4 linked regions of the Saccharomyces cerevisiae S288C genome follow. Changing the gene in region 2 together with the main gene of any one other region gives a genetic interaction. Each region holds a gene or a part of one and is shown on either strand. Other genes may lie near its edges.

Region 1 (4,102 bases), on a different chromosome or scaffold from region 2:
CAAATAAATTAAATAAGCATAATAAACTGTAACTCTCTAACGGGTGCAAGTATAAGCACAACACCTCAATCATTTGTGAGCAAAGAAAATGATTTATAGCTGCACTTAGAAAATAAAGCAAATTAGGTGAAGTGTCTTTTTATTTTATTTTTTTTTTTCTATTAACAAACAAATGTCCATGTATATATATATAAACGAGAGAAAAATGATAGTGAAAAATAAATACCAGTTGGAACTTAAACTGATGTATTTAGGTAGCAGAAGGATAGAGTTACAGAAGGTGAAATTGTCAATACAGATACAAAAAAGAAACAAAAAGAACTTAAAAGGACACGTTTGAACTCATAATTCACCAACTGGTCGAATTAGTAATCGAAGTGGTGTTGTACCATTGTACGTTACCTGGAGAGGTAGTGGTAACAGAAGGTGCACCGGTGACAGTAACGTATTGTGTAGTCGTATTTGGGGTGACTGTAACGTACTGGGTAACGGGCTCATTGGTGACAGTGACAAACTTTGTGATTGGGACGCAACCATTGGAAGTTGAAGCCTGTTCAAAGGACTTGACCTTTGCATCTTTGTTGTTTGAATCTTCGTCACTGACACTTGCTGCAGTAGATGATGGAGACAAAGTAGTGGAGTCATGAAGGGTTAGCAGCAAAGTGGACGTGATAGTCGAGGTGGAGGTAATTTCATGGGTGGATTCTGGGGTTACAGATCCAGAGGCCGAAGAGGTGGACAAGGAGGAGGAGGCCGCATTGGTAATGGTGGCTGAAGTTGAGGTGAACCAGCTCGTGGAGTAGACCGTTGAGGTGACAAAAAAGGTAGTGGTGTCGTCGGCGTACGATATGGTAGTCTCTTGGGGCACCAAGGAGTAGCTGGGCGCTAAAGTGGTAGTTGTAGAAACAGTATTGTTTGAATAAATCGCTGACACAGAACTTGCGAAGGTTAAAAGAGCGAAAAAGACAACGGATTGAAGCATTTTTTTATTTTTGGTTGATAAAGAACGACTAAGGTGAGAGTGAAAGTGATGTGATTTTTAATTATGTAGTGTAATTGAAACAATAAAAAAAAAACAAGGGAATGGACGAGACCTATTAATGGGTACTATGGCTCAAATAGCAAAAAAAATTTGTAAAATGGGTAAAAAAATGAGAGAAATACGCGAGAAACCTCTTGGTTGGATGTTGTGCTAAACTAGTTGCTTAAACGCTTGCAAAACTTTTTTATAGATAAAATATGCCAAGTGAAAAGAAAAGGAAGCAGAAGAGAAAAACTTAGAAAGGTAGAGGTAAGAAAGAATAAACCAAAATGTAAGCTAGGTGAGGGAAATATTTTGGAGCTTAAATATCTCGAACGACACTCACTCTCGTCAGAAAAATCTGTCGAGTAACTCAGACCACCTCCGATAGCATACCTTGTTTAGTTTCATAATCGGCAGAGACGTCATTCCTGCACAGAACGCCAAAATTCGTGGCCCCCGCGGTACCTGAATCAGGGCCAAGAATTTTGGCGTTTCGTGTTGTTGACATATTCCGAAAAAGGTATTGAGCCACAGGTCTTTCGCGTCTTCTAAGCCCCAAGATAAAGAAAATGCCGCCCTGCTTAATCACTGTTTTTTTTTGGAAAACCCTGAAGTATAGAAGTAGGGCATTGAAAGAAAAGATATGCGGGTAAGATATGAAAAAATTGAGGAAATGAGACCCAAGTGTACATGGGTATATATAAACAAATCATTATGGTGCATGATGCATCACTTACAATGCACACACACTATTGTCTTTGTAGAAACGGGGAAGACAATGGTTGTAGGCCTGATTGGTATTAGAGGCATCCGCAGTACGAGACATACGCCAAAGGCAGAATGTTAGACCCACGAATATTGCCATACTACGACCCGGCTGTGGAGAGGAAGATTGCTGTAGTAACAGGCGGAAATACGGGTATTGGGTGGTATACTGTCTTGCATTTGTATTTGCATGGGTTTGTCGTTTATATTTGTGGGAGAAACTCTCACAAGATTTCGAAAGCAATCCAGGAGATACTGGCAGAAGCAAAGAAGAGGTGCCATGAAGATGACGACGGTTCAAGCCCAGGCGCGGGCCCAGGTCCAAGCATTCAGCGTCTAGGGTCACTGCACTATATCCATTTGGATTTGACAGACTTAAAATGTGTGGAGAGAGCGGCACTTAAAATTCTCAAGCTGGAAGACCACATAGACGTGCTTGTTAACAATGCAGGGATTATGGCGGTGCCCTTAGAAATGACGAAGGACGGATTTGAAGTGCAATTGCAGACTAACTACATTTCGCACTTCATCTTCACGATGAGATTATTGCCTTTACTGCGCCATTGTCGTGGCAGGATCATTTCCCTGTCCTCGATAGGCCATCATCTAGAGTTCATGTACTGGAAACTGAGCAAGACGTGGGATTACAAACCTAATATGCTTTTCACATGGTTTAGGTACGCGATGAGTAAAACCGCGCTAATCCAATGCACGAAGATGTTGGCCATCAAATACCCTGACGTTCTTTGTCTCTCCGTTCATCCGGGTCTGGTGATGAACACAAACTTATTCAGTTATTGGACAAGGTTACCCATCGTCGGTATTTTCTTTTGGCTGTTGTTCCAGGTCGTAGGGTTCTTTTTCGGCGTATCGAACGAACAAGGTTCACTAGCTTCTTTGAAGTGTGCATTGGACCCGAATTTATCTGTCGAAAAAGATAACGGGAAGTACTTCACCACGGGGGGTAAAGAATCTAAATCGAGCTACGTTTCTAACAATGTCGACGAAGCGGCATCGACTTGGATCTGGACCGTTCATCAACTAAGAGACCGTGGTTTCGATATATAACAAGACGGAAAGATTGAAAGAGTAGATAGATGTACATTTTATTTAAATATTAGTTAGTCGTTATTGTAACTGGTAATCAGAGCAAGAAGTTTTTCTGTACTTTGTTCTCTGCAGGCAACTAAGTTACGGGCCGACAAAGGCTTATGATGTGCGTTTTTTATTCAATTGATAGATTCAGTCAGCATTGACGTAATGGGAAGGCTAGAAAAAGAGAAGACTGAATTTGGAAACTTATTCCTCAAAGCAGACCAGTACTTCCACCGCATTTCTGTACTTAACCAAGCACGACAGTGGTCTATCAGGCTTGGATCTTTCACTACACTTCCGCCAAAGTTTTTTTTTTTTCCTGTTTATCCCAGATCACGTTTGTTCCATTAAGGAGGTTTACTATCATCTCATTTCCATTTACACATACACTTACATATACATAAGGAAACGCAGAGGCATACAGTTTGAACAGTCACATAAATGTCAGGAACATTCAATGATATAAGAAGAAGGAAGAAGGAAGAAGGAAGCCCTACAGCCGGTATTACCGAAAGGCATGAGAATAAGTCTTTGTCAAGCATCGATAAAAGAGAACAGACTCTCAAACCACAACTAGAGTCATGCTGTCCATTGGCGACCCCTTTTGAAAGAAGGTTACAAACTCTGGCTGTAGCATGGCACACTTCTTCATTTGTACTCTTCTCCATATTTACGTTATTTGCAATCTCGACACCAGCACTGTGGGTTCTTGCTATTCCATATATGATTTATTTTTTTTTCGATAGGTCTCCTGCAACTGGCGAAGTGGTAAATCGATACTCTCTTCGATTTCGTTCATTGCCCATTTGGAAGTGGTATTGTGATTATTTCCCTATAAGTTTGATTAAAACTGTCAATTTAAAACCAACTTTTACGCTTTCAAAAAATAAGAGAGTTAACGAAAAAAATTACAAGATTAGATTGTGGCCAACTAAGTATTCCATTAATCTCAAAAGCAACTCTACTATTGACTATCGCAACCAGGAATGTACAGGGCCAACGTACTTATTTGGTTACCATCCACACGGCATAGGAGCACTTGGTGCGTTTGGAGCGTTTGCAACAGAAGGTTGTAACTATTCCAAGATTTTCCCAGGTATTCCTATTTCTCTGATGACACTGGTCACACAATTTCATATCCCATTGTATAGAGACTACTTATTGGCGTTAGGTATTTCTTCAGTATCTCGGAAAAACGCTTTAAGGACTCTAAGCAAA
Region 2 (5,780 bases):
CAAAACTTTGCCTGGCGTAAATGCTCAGTCGGCTTCCTCTTTTGTGTAGGCTTTCTAGTTGCGTGAAATCCTTTAACGAATAATGCAGCCATGCATCAAAGTCTAATTTATCAGGTTCATTTAGTTCAATATTCTCCCAAACCAACTTAGAACAATGCACCCAGTTTTTTTTCAGATTGATTATACAGCTGGAAATTATTTTTGGGTACTGTTCAATGTGTTTGTCGTTTAGAAACTCGATCAACCGAAGTCTTAATGTTATGTTCGGTAAAAAATCTTGCACAAAATAATTCAGTATGGAATGCCTCAACAACACAAACGTCCTCACGAGGGCAACTTCACCAATTCGCCTTCTCTTAGCTTTTGCAGCATTTGTTGTGATCTCCCTAATACACCATCGAAATCTATAGATGAGTAAGTCGTGTAAGTCTTGAGGCGTTATAAAATTCCTATAAATAAGGAAAAAATCTGCAGATGCGTTGTAGTCTACACCTTCCAAAGGGGAAGAAAGGTGTACAATTAACGCGGGCAGGTCTGCACTATTCACTGGTTTGGATACACAATCGCTTTCATAGCTAATAACATTTGAGGATGGAGTCGGGTAGTAATCTTTCTGGCTAAATATTTCCATGGTTCAGGGTAGCGAATCTTTGAATGGCTAGAGGCTATGTAAAGCAAACAAAAAGGTTCGCGTAAATCAACGAGCGAATAACACGAGTACGGTTGGGGTGGGCTAAAGGGTTCAAGAAATTATCAGTTTCTGTTTACAGTTTTTTTTTCATTGTTGATAAAAAGATCAAGAATTTCATTATTCGCGAAAATCAAAATGCAGAAAGGAAAAAATAGAAGGGTAATAAAACAGCATCGGATCGCAAAGATGAGTAAGGAGAACAGCCTGGTTAACAATTAAAGAGTGTTTATCGAAATTCATTATATAGTGGTTTATATAGACCACTTCTTCTGCTGGTTGATATAGAAATTTTATTTAATTCTTGTTTTTTACTTATGTACTTACTACGATGATCTTAATTCATGCTTCTTGCTTGTCGGCAATGTCCCAAGTGGAAAACCAGTTTAAGTAGCGGAAGTTACTACTTGGTCCCTCCATACCAAATGATATTGGGGAGAAGTACCAGAAGCAACCAATTACAAGTGCCATGAATCCGGCGTATAGGACGAACCGCATGATACGGCCGCACTTAGATCTGGACCATTTTTGCAAACCGGCGTCGAAACAGTACGCCAAAATGATCAGTGCAAAATACAAGGCAGGCAAGTAATGATGAACGTAGGTGACTCTAGACATGATAACGAATGGCATGTAGTGTAGGCCCCAAGCTAGTAGTGGGTAGAACCCGCCCATTAAGAAAACGTTCCAGTTAGATGGATTTCTTAGGTCCACATATTGTCTTTGCCATCTGATCAGTAAGATAACGACCGTGGCCATGAATGCGAGGACGGCAACACTAGAAGCCCACGTGGAAGCTGGGGTACCCAATAGGAAGTATTTTGGATTATCATCACCCCAGCCACATAGTCTCAAACCCACATTCAAAGTTGGCCATTGCCATGCTGAGGAAGCTAAGTAATCAAATTTGTCTGGATCTGGCACCAAAGCGTTATTAGTGGCCATCATGGCTAGATTTAAATGAATGAAGTCTTTTAAGAAGTTGGTCTTTGGGTATTGAAAATCTTCGGGTCTTGGTGGCAACCTTTCATTTTCGTGGGTCTCGATGTTCCACCAGGTCCTCTTGTCCCTCTTGAATGGGTTTTTCATGCAGACAACCTCTTGTTGTCTGAAACCCCATTCGGGCAAACTGTTACCGGTTTGAGCCAAGTAACAGCCCATCTCCAAGTTCTTGATACGGAAAGAGGTGGTCAATGTGTGCAACTTCTCAGGGTCTTCATCTCCTCTTTGGTCCATGATCTCAATAACCCAATTGTCTTTGTTGTCACCAACAACATTGTCACCGTAACCAGAAACCTCCCATTGTGTCTTTGACACTGGTGCAGCAACTGGGTGGGTGTGCAAGTTTCTGCCCGTGCTTTTGTGTACCAATCTATAGGAGGTACCTGGCTTCAAATACTCGATGTCAGTTTCGTTTTCTGACCATGATGGTAAGCCTCTTTCTCTGTTGAAAAACCATTCGTTGTTAGCATCTTTGTAACCATAACAGGTTACTTGTTGTTGGTTGGACCCATCTGGATAAGTTTGTATATGTGAGTGCAATAGAGATCCTCCAAGAGCTTGGTTTTTGATGGAAACAACGGAGGAACCTAGAGCAATGTCACGGGGGCCTTGTCCGACGTCAGAACCCACTAATCTTGCTTGGAAAAGAGATGGCATGTTAGCATCACCTGTACCAGAATGCGATAATAGGTCAAAATGTATTTTGAAGCACAATAGGAAAATGCAGAAGGGGACGATAATAAGACCAAATATTCTTGCCAACCAGTGGTTAATATAGGTTTTCCATGACATGGATTTATCTGCCAAAAAGGTCCATAAGTCAATCACAGTATAGATACCGACCATAGTGATGATAAATAGACCCACCATTTTGACGGAAATAGTGCAACCCAAAGAAATACCAGTGATCAACAGCCATTTCCACCACTTTCTAGAGAACGGCTTGGACCTCTGGTTGTGGAACATAACAAAACTAAAGAACGATGCGACAGTGAAGAAAAGTAGCATGGAGTCCAAAAGAATGAACCTGCCCAAAGTACTATACGAGTTTTCAAACAAAACCAACACGGTCATCAGCCAAACTGTTGGTAAAGAAAATCCAATAGCTTTGGCAGTGAAGTAGGCCAATGGCACACAGAGCGCGGAAAATGACGCGTTGAACAGTCTCATTTTAACATAATCCAAATAGTCTGGGTAAATTTCCCCAGAAGGGAAGTCCCAAGAACCGTTGTAGCCTGCCAAATAACCAGACAACCCGACCAGCATTTTTCCTAGGGGAGGATGGACATCGTGGTAAAATTCGTGTCTCAAGTAATAAGAACCAAATTTACCAAAGTGCGCCTCATCCCAAACAACATGGTTGTTGATGCCGATTTTGTACATCCTGGTAAACAACGCCAATGCAGTAAAGATCACCGGCATTACAACGGATTCCAGGCGTAACAGTGAGCTTTGTGCAGCGGGCTTTTCCTTCGAGAAATCTTCCGCGTCTCTCTCATCAGCGCTCGAAAGTTCCTCACTGACGCTGATGGAAGACGATTCTCTTTGTCTCAGTGTATTCTCTTGCTTAATGTGGGCGGCATTGTTTTTGCTGTACCCGGTAGACGAAGACGAGGACATGATTGCTGGACCACGGTTCGAAACAGAATGACAGTAGCGATGTGGACTAAGCCGGTTCTCCTTGGTAATGTTGTTAGTCTCGAGAAATGACCTTTTTTTTACCCTCAAAAAGAATGCAACACTATTAATAAACAGTACACGAAACGGATCTTTCCGTAAGTTCTTTCGTTCTTTTTTTTCGTATTCTTTTCTTATGTTTTTTTTTTTCAGGGCGACGTGTCCAATAATATGTATGTTTGTCGCTATGTACGAGATATTATTGCTAAGTGACAGTAAATCGTATCACGACTGTAAATGATGGCGTTTCGGTATGTACAGTATCTATCTACCTGATAATAAAGTCAATTATGAAGACGAATACGTAGCTTATGATGCTGCCCAGAGCTAGTCCTGTAGAAACGAAAATATTAGTGAATCCACCGGCCGCTTCCTTCTCGTCGTCGTTGTCCAGTTGCTCTGGCACCTTCATGAAACTCATAGAGATGACGTGCCCGTTGGTTACGCCGAAAAGGAACTGCAGTAGCATGTAACACAAGTCAACGATTACGGAGCCATTGTGCTCTTCATCGCCGCTTGAAGAGGAGGTGATGGCTGTGAACATCAAGAACAGTGGTATTGCGGCCACCCGCAACAATGAGTAGATGAAGGTTTTGCGTGGCGTAAATTTCTGGTCACGGAACATGGGCCAGTCGGCAATGACTCTTCCGTAAAGGTCGCCTAGGTTCCACAGCGTGAATATGAGAGGTATGTACTGTGCGTTGCTTAAAGGAAGCCCTGTCACGTAGGTGGCAGACGCAAATACAGGAAAAACAAGAGTTACGACAAACGTGGTGAATATGGAAAGAACCAGGTACTTTAGTTTGGCAAATAAGACCTCGAAAGGCACTTTTAGTTGGAGTTCCTCACCTTCGTCGTTGTCGTCGCGAGTGCCGTTGGTGCGGCGGTGGTCTTCATCCTCCATTTGGTCAATGCGGCCAACAATACGGATTTCCTCCTCATTGGAGCGCAGAGACCCTAACAACACATCAGTGATATGTCCGTCTTCCACATTCCAATTCTCGTTCACTTTCCGACTGATTTTGCTCACGCTGAACATGACCACACAAATGGTGACCACGAGTGTTGTGGTAAAAAAGTATAGAAGAATCCCGCCCGTAGTAGACACAGAAGAGTTCTCGATGAAAGCTAGGGCAAAAAGCACTAGGGAGGGCAGGACACCAGCAACGGCTTGCCCCACCATGACACCTTGACTGTACTCGGAACCGAAGACGTTGGCTATGGCCATGATACCATTCTGTGTCATGGCTGTCCCCATGGAACTGATCACTACAAGCATCATTATAAACATGAAATTGAACCATTTAGGTAAAAGGAAATGCAAAATTGTAAAGAAGCACATGACAGTAAAGACAATAATCTCCCACACAAGCCCGTTTATGACCCTTCTCGAGTATTTGTACTGTCTTTTGGCCAAGTAGATGTTGAACAGCATTGACGATATGGTAGAAAAGGACATCATAGAGCTTGTGAAGATCTTTGCCCAAATGGAGGTGTCTTTGAAAATATCGTGCTTAAAATATTGCGAGGCACTGAGGATACAGTTCCACGGCCATAAAAGACCTATTCCTATGGCGAAAAATGTAATATATGAAAGATTTTTCAACTTTTTTCTTAACGGCAATGTATCCAGTGGTTCGGTTGACACAGATTGCTCTCTTTCAGAATAATTATCGCCTTCTTCATCTGAGTGCTCGTTGTTCTCTGATTCATGTTCTTCTCCAGAGCGTGATATCTCCTCTGAATGCGTATCGGCCAGTGCAGGCTCTGGCACCGCAAGGATTGGCTTCTTGATGGTATCAGTGTCCGCACTAGTACTCATTTTTGCAATCTGGTATGCTTTCTTGCGTTTGATGATAAGCTGTCGCCGTAACGTAAATCATTCATCCTTTCCTATGATTTTTTAAGTCAATTTTTTTTTCTTTTTCGGGAAATTAATTCTGTTTTTGGCATTAATAACAACAAGAAGAATTAAGGATTCGTTATAGAATACAAGATTCTTGGTTTGGTTAAATAATTTTGGCTCTCTTAAATATTATAAAAAGATACTTAAGTAAGAAAGAAACAGGACGAAAAAGATACGCAAAAGAGAGAGAGAGAGAGAGAGAAAAAAAAGATGAGAAAAAAAAGTATAACGTGAAGGCTTTATGGGAAGTGCGGTGAGATTGGGATCGTTTCAATTTTATAATGAGGTAGTGTACAGAGAGGAGGGAGGGAGTGGGATGAAAGTGTGCGGTTTATACTTTCTTACTGCCTGTGTTTGTCTTCATAAATTCAAATCTTGCTAACAATGGTATATGGTCACTGGGGAATTTGTCGTTGGGGAACCCGATAAACTTACTCACGTATTCAGGGTCCACTTCACCCAATAGCCCACGCACCCTTAGAGCATGTGTAGAAAACCATATATAGT
Region 3 (6,004 bases), on a different chromosome or scaffold from region 2:
GATTCTGCTTGAAAAGAGGAGGTTGATTGTGGAATAGTGCTTGGCTGCAAAGTAGAGGTTGGCTGCGAAGATGTACTCATTTCAGCCTTTTTTAAGAGAACTTTAGTGATAGTCGTAGTTGGTTCAGCTGTTGGGTTCACACCTTGTGGAATTAAGGTTGTTGTAAAGGTAACACTATCGCTTATTAGGAATTCGACAGTTGGGGCAATAACAACTTCGGTAGTAGTGGAGTAAAAATCAGTCACAACATTAGTTGTGCTTGCTGTGTGAACTCTCGTTACAACTTCTCTCTTAGGAAGAATCGGTAAAGCTGAGGTTAGATAAGTTAAGCATAGCAGCGATGATAGAAAGCTTATGGGTGAAATCATGATGGTTTTCTATTAGATATTATATCAATGAGTGTAGCGTAATAATAAGTCGATAAACAGTACAGAGAATAGAATAGATTTATTACAGTGGAGGTATGTCAGTAAAGGCTTATTCTTCTAAAAGAGTGGACTGTCTTTGTTGCGTAACTGACGATTATAGTACTGTTGCCTTAATATATAACAGTGTATTTGGATAAGCAGAAGGAAAACACGATCATTGAACTTCAATTTTCTTTCCACTTAAATAGTCCCTCCTCAGATTCTTAATTTGTTTTCGGTGCAGCATATTTTGTTGTCAGTCCTTACACTTTAACATTTTGAGATCTAGTATCCAGCTTGTAAACAATAACATTCCCTAACTTTTATTCATCTTACCGCAGTAAATAGAAAAGACCTCACTTCGCAACCATTAATCCCCAAAAGAAAAAAAAAAATGTGACATTTCATAATGCATGTTTCGAGTGTGTTTTCGATTGTTTATTTGTCTGGCTTTTAGCTGCAATGGCCCAGACTGCTAGTTACCAGTTGCTGGTTTCCACGATTTTTTAACTTTTTCTCACAGCCGCATCGAAATGTAAATAAACGCGAGAAAAAAAAAGCTGAAAATGCTGGCTCTAACTAAGAGATGCGAGGCCCTTTTCGAATAGCTGGAACATTTATAATTTTCATCCTGCATACTGGTACATATCTGGTTACATATCTGTTTATATGACTGAAAATATCTACATAGATTCAGAAGCGTCCAAGGATGTTGACAACAAGTGCTGTCCAGCCTGTGAAATGCTCAGCACCAGTACCATGACCATCTATCGGACTGTAATTTTCATAACAATAACCTTGTTCTTCCCAAACTTTGTATATGTTGTTACTGAGATTAATCTTTAAACTTTGGTACAGTTTCTTGGCATTGCTAGCCTCACCAGCCACGTCGAGAATCACCTCTGGGTAGTAGTATCTCATTGCGTCAAGACACAAGTAATTAATATTCATCCAAATTGGGCCTCTCCAATAGTTTTCATCCTTGCCGAAATAGTCGTCTTGTCTCGATAGTGATAACAGCCCGTAGTCTGAAAAGATTTTTTCTGGGTCACTCATCAAAGCAACTACTTTCTCTAGCTTGGGTGAGTTTTTGGGGATTAGCTTCAATGCAAAGGGCAATACGGAGACGTAACCCTCATGACATACAAACTCCCTAATCTCATCGTCTTCTGGATCGATGCTAATATCACAGTAGCAATTGTCATTTTCACTCCAGTGTAACAAATCCAGATTCTCGACCACCTCTTGCTCAATTTGTGCATATCTTTGCTCGTCCTGTGTTAACTTCAACACGTGAGCAATTTGCTTCATGGATCTTGTCATAACGCCCACCCATGCTAATGCGTCTACGTTCAATTCTGCTACATCTGGTGGTTGTGCTCTAGGATAGTCATCCATACCGCTTGGCAAACAATGAGTGAAGGTACGCCCAACCCATCTATAAACTTCGTTCTTATGAATCTTATCCCATATTCCTTCATCTTCCAATATTTCCTCATATTCATCAATAAGTCCTGTTTGAGATTTTCTGAACCAATTATAGTGCTTCAATAGCTTAGGATAAATTTTCTTGGCATATTCGGTTAGCAAGCCAGGATTGGCTTCTAGATTGTTCGTCATAAACTTGGCTGTCCTACTATTGAACATGACTTGGTGGTAGCTGTCACTGTTGAAATCGCCGATGTTTTCAATGGCCCTAGAAAGCATTTCACTAAATGCTAGCAATAAAGTTGGCGGATTAGCAATATTGGGATTTTGCACCTGAAATTCCTGCGGAACTTTACTCCTTGCCTCATTACCCAGTATAATTTCTCTAGCAATCCAACCACTATCATCTTCGATCATTTCAAACCAGCTCGCTAAGATTTCAAAGGCAAGGTCAAAATCATACTCCATAATTTGTAGAAGATGGAAACCTTCATCCCAATAGAATCCACGTGGGAAAAAGCCACGGCTCGGAACGCTGGTAAACAGTTCAAATGGACCTTCCTCTTTTGCATTCAGCAGTTTGATCTCTGTAAACTGGCTCTCATCAAATTCTGTTTCACGATCAATTAGTTGATTCCCATAGAAATAACCGATTCCTCCTAATAGGTTTGATAGCGTCTCTAAAGCAAATCTTCTTTTGACCTCCACGCTTTCAATTGAGTCGGGACCTTCTCCAAAACTAAACTGCTTATCAAAACGCGCGTTTATCTCATTTAGTGACCAAGTAATCAACTCCGTAACTTGTTCCCTGGTGGAAATACTTTGAGTAGTGCCAAGTTTATTGTAAGTGATATCAAATTGGAACCCATCTTTTTTGGTCAAATCAAATGTCTTTTGTATATAATGAAAATTACCAGGATTAAAATTGTACAAATTTCTAATAGTTAAAACACTTGGTATTAAATCAGCAGGACGCTGCTTTGTCTCTTCCTTTTCCAGTATATCACGTATCGAATCGCTAACTAGAGATTGGAAAACATCACGAGCCTTCCAAACTTCTTTATCCGGGATTTGAAGTGATAAATGACTTGTTTTAGAGCAGTCACTTCCTGGTGCTACTTCCATGGTTTCATATTCCGGATTTTTGAAGTAGTGACCAAAATTGTCCTTTACTGTAAGATGATACTCGCCTAATTCTTTAGAATATCCGAAGAATTTCATGTCATTAGGGCCGTCATGACCTATCATTGCTAAGGAAGATTTTCCATCTATCTCGCCACCATTTTGACTAAAGTACAATACGACAGATGCTGTAGATGGTCTCTTGGGATCCAAAGGCTCACCTTGAACTCTCACTGACCAATTTTCCCCGTTCTTGCTCTTTACAAAATAAACAGTCAAGTTCAAGTTATTTTTTTCATCAATAAAAACTTCTTTACCACCAATTCTTGGATCATACACTTCCCAACCATACTTTTGCAATTTATCCTGAGGCGTTGCAAAATGTCTTAACGAATGTAAGCCATCCTGACTCAAACTGTTGAACCACATGATACCCATAATTAGTGGACTTTCATGGACATATCTGGGCCTCATACCAAAGTAACAATTGGATCTATACGGTGCCCACAGTAAAGATTCATTCGTGAACTTTTGATATTCTTCGAATTCTTGTAGTTTACTAATATCAACGGTGGCAGATGCCAGGAGAACTATGCTGGTTAGTATCCAAAATGTTTTAAACATCTTAGATTTTGAAATAAGCATTGTGAAGCAACCTGAACCGTTATTATCCACTACTTCCTTATTAACAGTTGACGCTAATATAGTGTGTCACGCATACAATAATTGAACTTTTAAATTACGCGAAAATGTGGCTGTTCTGACCGAAATGATCTAAAATTGGTCACGATACTAATCTTGAGCAAATTGAGAGGTAAAAGAGCTGAATATGCTAATGTATCCCGATCGTATATTATATTCGTCTATGTAGTTAAAAAGCTAAATAAAAGCGTTCCTTATCAGATATTACTCATTAGGCAGATGGGTCTTCTTCGAATCTCAAATCCCAACCTATCTTTGGACCTAATTTCGGCAAGACTTCAGCGACACTTTGGACATCTTTATCACCTCTACCAGAAATATTGATAACCAAATGTTGATCAGGCTTCATCGTCTTAGCCAATTCGCAAGCGCCATAAACAGCATGAGAAGATTCCAAAGCGGGAATAATACCTTCTAATTGAGATAATAATTTAAAGCCAAGCAGAGCCTGAGCGTCAGTAGCTGCAATGAATTGAGCACGGCCAGTAGATTTCCAATATGCCAATTCTGGACCGACACCTGGGTAGTCTAACCCAGCAGAAACAGAATGAGTATCATGGACTTGACCATCACTATCTTGCAAGACATAAGTCTTGACACCATGGAAGACACCAGGTCTACCGGCAGTTAGAGTAGCAGAGTGGAACTTTGTATCTACACCATCACCACCGGCTTCCACACCCAATAACTTAACGGAAGTATCATGCTCGAATGGTGAAAACATACCTGTAGAGTTGGAACCACCCCCAACACATGCAACAACTGCGTCAGGTAATTTACCATTGTTCATGGCAGCAAACTGTTCCTTGGTTTCTTTACCAATGACACTTTGGAAAGTTCTAACCAAAGTTGGATATGGGTGAGGACCAATGGCAGAACCGACGACGTAGTAAGTAGTTTTCAAGTTAGTAACCCAAAATCTGAATGCCTCTGAAGTAGCGTCTCTTAGAGTCTTTGTACCATTAGTAACAGCAATTACTTTAGCACCGAGAATTCTCATTCTGAAGACGTTTAAAGCTTGGCGACGAACATCTTCTGCACCCATGAACACAGTACAGGTTAAGCCAAATTTAGCACATGCAGTGGCAGTGGCAACACCGTGTTGACCAGCACCGGTTTCAGCAATAACGTTCTTCTTGCCTAATCTTTTAGCTAGAAGAACTTGTGCTAAAGCATTGTTGATCTTGTGAGATCCCGTGTGGTTAAGATCTTCTCTCTTCAACCAGATTTGAGCACCTTGACAATGCTCAGTTAATCTCTCAGCTTTGTGTAGTGAAGAAGGACGGCCAATATAAGAATACAAGGATTTGAAGTCTTCCCAGAATGTGGGATCGGCGACAGCTTCATCAAAACCCTTTTCCAACTCTCTTAGACATGCATGAAGAGCTTCTGGGACATACTGACCACCAAAGTCCCCAAATCTAATTGGGTGCTTGTGATTTTCATCAAATTCGTCCAGTATTTCCTTCTTAACGTTTGCGGACTTCAAGGACTCTTTTTGAAAGGCAAAGAATTCGTCCTTGGACAGAACCTTATGCTTAGCACCATTTAGAATTCCCTGTACATATTCCTTAGCAACGTCGTACCTTTTGCCCTCTGGAGCATCTCCACATAATGTGACGATTTTGGAACCAATCACTACACCGTCAGCAACACTACCAACTGATTGGAAATGTTCTCTGGTAGAGACACCAAACCCAACGGCCAAAGGAGTATCCTTGGTGTACTTTCTGACTCTAGAGATGAGTTCATCCAAATCACTGGCCACAGAACTTTGAACACCAGTAGTACCCATTCTAGACACAACGTAGACAAACGAATCGGCAATATGCGATAGTAATTCCAATCTTTCGTCGGTGGTAGAAGGAGCCACTAGTGGGATCAGGCTCAAACCATTATCATTGATGTAGTTTCTGACCTTCAACGCCTCCTCTGGTGGCAAATCGACGATGATAAAACCATTAGCACCAGCCTTGGCAGCGTCCTGAATAAATCTTTCTTCACCGTAGTTTAGAATAGGGTTATAGTAACCCATTAGGATTATGGGTACGGTAACACCTTCATTTCTAGCTTGGGAGACCATTTCTAGAGTTTGAGGCAAGGTAACACCGTTTTGCAAAGCCACAGTATTAGATAATTGAATTGTAGGACCATCTGCAATTGGATCAGAGAAGGGCATACCCAATTCGATGATATCTACACCACCATCCTGGAAACCCTTGAGAATAGGGACAGTGTCTTTGACTGTTGGGTAACCTGCGGTCATAAATGTGACCAAGGCGTTCCTGTTTTCTTTTTTAGCGTTAGCAAATGTTTGTCTGAGTTGTTCTGACATGGTCTGTCGG
Region 4 (6,270 bases), on a different chromosome or scaffold from region 2:
AAATTAGTGTGTGTGCATTATATATATTAAAAATTAAGAATTAGACTAAATAAAGTGTTTCTAAAAAAATATTAAAGTTGAAATGTGCGTGTTGTGAATTGTGCTCTATTAGAATAATTATGACTTGTGTGCGTTTCATATTTTAAAATAGGAAATAACCAAGAAAGAAAAAGTACCATCCAGAGAAACCAATTATATCAAATCAAATAAAACAACCAGCTTCGGTGTGTGTGTGTGTGTGAAGCTAAGAGTTGATGCCATTTAATCTAAAAATTTTAAGGTGTGTGTGTGGATAAAATATTAGAATGACAATTCGAGATGAAATTTTAAGCAAACTCTAGTAGGAAATAAGCGGCTTATTCTTGTTGGCTCCTAATTCTTTTTAGTGTATCAGTTCCCATTGATAAAAAAATTAAAATTAAAATTAGAAAAATTAAACCAGAAAAATCAAGTTGATTAAAATGTGACAAAAATTATGATTAAATGCTACTTCAACAGGATTAGGTTTCCTTTTCGTGTTGAGTAGAGACTCTTTGCATAGCAGCCATGAAGTCTTCGACACTTCTGGTAGACTTCTTTTCCTTCATTGGCTTACCGTTCATCAATCTGTCAAAGGCTTCAGAAGTGGACATTTCGTAGTAGAAACCACCCAAAACACAGAAGATACCGATAGACCAGATCCAGACACGGACGACAGTAACAATATCAGTCCAGTTTTCAGACCACCAACCGAATAAGGTAAACATGGTAGCGATGATGTCGACAGCGAAGACGGCACCAGCCAATTGCCAGGATGGGATAGAAGACCAGAATGGACCAGCAGCTCTGGTAATGAAAATCAACCAGTTTTCAGTCAAGGAAATTTGCAAGAACATAATACCGTTCATAGCACCGAAGTTTTGGATAATACCACCCTTTGGTAAGAACATAGTAGTCAAGGTAATCCAAGAACCTATAGCTAAAACTATGCCCAAAATAATAGACATACCCCATAATCTTGGTAGGTTCCATTTAACGGGCTTTGGAGAGTAAGGAGCATTATCGTAAGCAATAGCCAAAGTAGCAACATCAGCGAAAATAGCGATGAAAACAATCAAATCAATGTCCAAAGAGTTATCCAAAATAGCAATCCATAGACCCAAGAAGATTTCCAAATGTAGAGACAAAGCAATACGGTAAACAACGTAAGAGTACATTCTGTGAAAAATTTGTCTGGAGGTCTTCAAAGCATCAATAATAGCAGATAGACCAGGAGCCAAGAAAACAATATCAGCAGCAGATCTGGCAGCATCAGTAGCACCTTCGACAGCAATACCAGTATCAGCCTTCTTCAAAGATGGAGCATCGTTAACACCATCACCAGTCATAGCAACCAAGTAACCTCTGTTTTGCAAGATTTCAACAACTCTGTATTTATGTTGTGGGAAAACTTCAGCGAAACCATCGGCATTTTCAACAAAATCAGCTAATTCAGAACCTGGCATGTCACCACCGCCACCTAGACCTAATCTTTCAGCGTTGTAAATGTTGGTACCCAAACCCAATTGTCTACAAGTTTCCTTAGCAATACCAACAGCATCACCAGTTAACATCTTAACTCTTAGACCCAAGTGTCTAGCTTCGCTAACAGTTTGAGCAGTATCGTCTCTTGGTGGATCCATACATGGCATAACACCCAAGATTTCCCAGTGACCTTCACCTCTCTTTCTAGCAACACCTAAAGCACGGAACCCTCTAGAAGCCAATTCAGCAACCTTGTTTTCGTAGTTTTCATGGACATCTTCTGGGATTGGGTGATCTTCTTCGACAGTCTTCAAGACGAATAATGGAGCACCCTTAACACAAACAATTCTTTCACCTTCTGGAGATTCGACAACGGCAGTAACCTTCTTGGAGACAGGGTCAAATGGATGGAATTCCAAAACCTTGTACTTGGTCAAAGCGTCCTTAGCCTTTGGATATTGCTTCAAAGACTTCAAGAAAGCCTTATCAATAGCATCCAAACCCTTCTTCTTTCTGGAAGCAGCCAAACAAGCAGTCAACATCAAGTCGTCTGGAGAAACACCTTCAACAGTGTATGGTTCGTGCAAGGACAACTTGTTCTTGGTCAAAGTACCGGTTTTGTCGGAACACAAGATTTCGACACCAGCCAAGGATTCAATAGCAGACAACTTTTGAACAATGGCTTGTTTCTTAGCCAAGTAAGCAGCACCGACGGCCATAGTGGTGGTAACGACAGCTGGCAAACCGACTGGGACACCAATAATAGTAATACCTAGAGTGTATCTCAAGATTCTAACAATACCGTTGGTTCTGTAGAAACAAGCAGTCCAGACCAACAACAAAGTGGCAATGACCAAAACCAATAAGATAATACCAATACCGTTCAAAACTTCAGTGAAATGACCTTGACCACCAGCGGCTTTGTTAACCAAAGCAGCAGCTCTACCAACGAAAGTGTTGTCACCGGTAGCGGTAACAACCATGAAACCTTCACCTCTCTTAACAGTGGAAGAAGAGAAAGTTTGGTCACCGTAATGTTTGTCGACAGCCAAAGATTCACCAGTAATAGCAGATTGATCGATTTGCAAGAAACAGTCTTCAGTGACAATACGACCATCAGTTGGGATAACAGTACCATCTTCCAATTGCAAAATATCACCTGGGACGACTTCGTTGGCTGGAATTTCAACCAATTGACCGTCTCTGATAACAACAGCAGTGTTAGCCAAAGTCTTTTTCAATTCATCGACAATAGAACCAGCTTGGAATTCTTGAACGAAACCAACACCAGCGTTTAACATTAACAAACCACAGATAACACCGAAATCGACCCAATCGGACAAACCGGCAGCCAAAATAGCAGCGGCTTCCATAACGAATTGAATTGGACCGACGAAAAACATAACGAACTTAACGACTAAAGATTCTTTTTCGTCAGCCATTTGATTCAAACCGTACTTCTTTCTTCTTTTCAAAACTTCATCGGAAGTTAAACCGTAAGATGGGTCAGTTTGTAAATATTCTTCTGGAACTGGTCTAGCTTCACCGGCGGCAACTGGACCATCGTTATCACTGTCTTCGTCGTCGACACCGTGATTAGATTGTAGTTCTTCGATTAAAGCATCGATATCGTCATCGTCAGAAGATTCAGATGCAGCGTCATCGTAAGTCTTAGCAGGCTTTTCTTGAGTTGGCTGATGAGCTGAAACAGAAGATGCTGAAGAGGATGATGAAGAGGATGATGTATCAGTCATATTGATATTGTTTGATAATTAAATCTTTCTTATCTTCTTATTCTTTTCAATGATTTTCTTTAACTAGCTGGGGTATATTTTTTTTCTTTCTTTTGAATGTGTGTATAAAAGAGAGAAAAAATGGTTATTTTCCAATTAATTAATTATTAACGATTGTTAAAGAAAAAATTTATCAACGAGGTTGATAGAAAAAAAAAGTTTTTGTAGATATAGAAGAAAAAAAGATTTTCACTATTGGTGTTATAGGAAAGAAAGAGAAAAAATTTAAGAGAAATTAGATGTTAGACGATAATGATAGGACATTTGAAAATAATACAATATTTGGCCTTTTTATATAATCGAAACTAATGGAGGGGAGCATAAGCGGTACCCACCATCGACCACGTTTCGTCACCGGTCATAATTGGAATAAACAAAACAAACAAACGAACTAAAGAGTGTGAGAGTAACAATTTCCACAGAGGTAAAAAAAAAAAAAAGGAAAACAGAAACAAAAAAAGCTCATAGTTCTACTATAGCTTCTTCAGACTTTCTGTGAACGAGGGAAAAAGACAACAAAAAAGCAATGGATAAACGGTCTCGAGAGATTTTTCATGATGGAAAAGGAAGGAAAAAAACCCGAAAGGCATATGGATAACATTCTGAAAATGTCTATTCCTGTCAAAAGCATGTCAGAGGTCTCGAGGCCTGGAAGTGCCGCATTAGGAAATACAGATGCAATGCGCGCGAGTTTACGAAATTCTCGCAGGAGTTTCTCCGGCCATGTGCGGCTGGTTCTACGTCTCGTGTATGGGTTTATTTCTGCGGTAATTATCGCCGGATCTCCGCTTCGAGACCGGGTTTGTTTTCAAATTACCGGAAAAGGTCAGGCAAAACAGAGTGATGTATGGGTGATCCCAGCAATGCCTGTTTATGTTTCTCCGTTTCAGGAAGCTTGTTTTGTTTTTTCCCCGTCAGCGATGGTGACGTAAACGACTTTTTGCACTTTAGCAAAGCTGAGTTAATCTCGGAAAATCTCTGTGTCCTTCCTTTTTCTTCTAGCTTCCGTTCCGAGTCTCATCTTCTTTCCCGTGCCGTCGGGTTTAGTAAAGAAATGTAAAGAAAAAATGTCGTATCGTACCCGAGAAATATTTCAATTCTCTTACGTATGCGATAGCAGTTGGAAAGATCTGATTCGTTACGATGACTTGATAAGCGCGGGCTTTTTCGCCCTATACGGCTTGGGCCTGACTAAAATGTGATTCTGTGTTTTACGTATATGCGCGTATATAGAGCAATTGATTGACTTATTACGCAGTTTATCAAGATAAATTCTTTGTTCTTGCTTACGGGAGTGTGGTAAGCATGTATACGCCCGTTTAAAAACCCGATGGAGGCTTTTTCCCCAATTCTCGTACTCCATTGGGCATATGATTTCTTTCTTTTTCCCTTTTTTTTTTTTTCTATTTCCCTAAACTAACAGAACAAGCTTCAAAACAAATGACGGAGAGAAAAACAGTTTTGATTTACCAAATGCGGCAAACTTATTGAGGCTAGACACAGCTCTACCGGATTCGTCCGAGCACTTTTTTGTTTTCTTTTCTATATTTACTACAAACATAACAAAGTTTTGTGCGTCTTCCCTAAAGCAGCTAGGATGAAAATCCTATGCTCTCATCTCGCTGGTTGCCATCTCATCGCATCCAATGCTGTCTGTAATCATTTTATTGGACTTTTCTTTGTTTGCTAATCCCCCTTTTCTTTTTCCCGTTCTTTTCTTGTCCTTGTTTTTCATTTTAACTATATTTCTGAAATTAAGGAAAAATAAGGCAAAAAGTGGGTGGATGCATCTGCGACTTCTCTAGTTTTGCGCCTACTTGGGCGCGCTAATAATAAGGGTTTAGCTTCTTAAAATAAAAATGTCAGTAACAGTTGTACGATAAGGTCTTTACTTTTTTTCTCTCGAGAAATGTCTTTTTCTAATTAATCTCTCTTTTCTGTTGTTGGTTACTGCCTTCCATAGTCCAAGACCATTCGTTATATGGTGCAGTGTAGGATCGAGGAGAATCGGCTCACGGTGCTTATATTATTGCCCGGCTTCAAGTATATTTACATCAGTCTCCATAGTTGTTTTATCTTATTCTTGGCATTGATCTGCTTATTAAACTATTTATCGGTTCTCTCTTCTGGTACAGAACTTAACATGATCTTGTTTTCACTATTGTGCCATAAGCTGAAAAGGCTAAAATAAAATTAAGATAGTAAAGTTCACTCTTAAACTAATCAAGCATGAATAATACAAAATAAATATTTGAGCCAAAGGGGATGATTTAATTATCAAGTTTTTCTTTTCATACTTCGGTTTACAAGCATTGTTTACGGCTCTTCTTTTCTTAGTTCTTGGCAGTTTGTGTTTTCTTGATGAGAATAAGAAAAGTATCGATCTTACGGCAAAACATAAATAAAACACAACTTTATCTTTTTTTGTCGCAGTAGTGTGGTCCTACAGCTCCAAGCCTGCCGCTTTTAAAATAGTGAGCTGTGCATACTGATATATGTTCTATTTTACCCATTTGAGGGGCCTAAATTGTCTATTAATTTTTTTACTTTAATACAGTTTGTATAGAAACATGTGGCACTAACAGCTTTATCCGCCCGCAGAAAAGATAAAAAAAAAGGGTTTTTACCCGGCAAAGAAGCTTCTCCATCATTTGTCAGGGGGAAAAGAAAATTAGGAGGCTCAGGCCCTAGAAGCGCCCTCCACGCTTTTTAAACAAATGCTAATCTTCATAATTCATTATCATCGCCACTTGGCATTGCATTTAATGGGCGCCTTCCAAAAACATTCAAATAGTATCAGCCCCCCCCCAAGGAAAGGCTTTATTTGAATTGCGTTAAATATTCGATTTCTTTCTAGCAATTATTACCAAAATAAATTGCAGGCTTAACGAAAAATTAAATAATCTCTTCAGATTTTTTCACTTCCCCAAACTACATTTTAGTCAGGTTGGCACGATTCAATTGAGAAGGCTTA

The links.
Region 1: mutations in PMT2 (region 2) and ENV9 together harm fitness more than expected from each alone (negative genetic interaction), as found in Saccharomyces cerevisiae (3 studies listed by BioGRID, with this or other methods).
Region 3: mutations in PMT2 (region 2) and CWH41 together harm fitness more than expected from each alone (negative genetic interaction), as found in Saccharomyces cerevisiae (4 studies listed by BioGRID).
Region 4: mutations in PMT2 (region 2) and PMA1 together harm fitness more than expected from each alone (negative genetic interaction), as found in Saccharomyces cerevisiae (3 studies listed by BioGRID).

Annotation. Positions count from the first base shown.
Region 1 is NC_001147.6:794,556-798,657, reverse strand, and holds ENV9 (Env9p), read left to right. Parts: upstream 1-1,864; coding exon 1,865-2,857; downstream 2,858-4,102. Other genes in the region: SRL1 (Srl1p), read right to left, coding at 350-982; DGA1 (diacylglycerol O-acyltransferase), read left to right, coding at 3,326-4,102.
Region 2 is NC_001133.9:105,242-111,021, forward strand, and holds PMT2 (dolichyl-phosphate-mannose-protein mannosyltransferase PMT2), read right to left. Parts: upstream 3,311-5,780; coding exon 1,031-3,310; downstream 1-1,030. Other genes in the region: mitotic regulator LTE1, read right to left, coding at 1-631; nucleoside transmembrane transporter FUN26, read right to left, coding at 3,636-5,189; CCR4-NOT core exoribonuclease subunit CCR4, read right to left, coding at 5,605-5,780.
Region 3 is NC_001139.9:442,542-448,545, forward strand, and holds CWH41 (mannosyl-oligosaccharide glucosidase), read right to left. Parts: upstream 3,603-6,004; coding exon 1,101-3,602; downstream 1-1,100. Other genes in the region: SCW11 (putative glucan endo-1,3-beta-D-glucosidase), read right to left, coding at 1-368; tryptophan synthase TRP5, read right to left, coding at 3,871-5,994. UniProt on the Saccharomyces cerevisiae protein: Cleaves the distal alpha 1,2-linked glucose residue from the Glc(3)Man(9)GlcNAc(2) oligosaccharide precursor highly specifically. Seems to play a role in beta-1,6-glucan synthesis.
Region 4 is NC_001139.9:479,410-485,679, forward strand, and holds PMA1 (H(+)-exporting P2-type ATPase PMA1), read right to left. Parts: upstream 3,258-6,270; coding exon 501-3,257; downstream 1-500. Other genes in the region: YGL007C-A (uncharacterized protein), read right to left, coding at 3,532-3,618; BRP1 (Brp1p), read left to right, coding at 3,851-4,228; YGL006W-A (uncharacterized protein), read left to right, coding at 6,014-6,124. UniProt on the Saccharomyces cerevisiae protein: The plasma membrane ATPase of plants and fungi is a hydrogen ion pump. The proton gradient it generates drives the active transport of nutrients by H(+)-symport. The resulting external acidification and/or internal alkinization may mediate growth responses.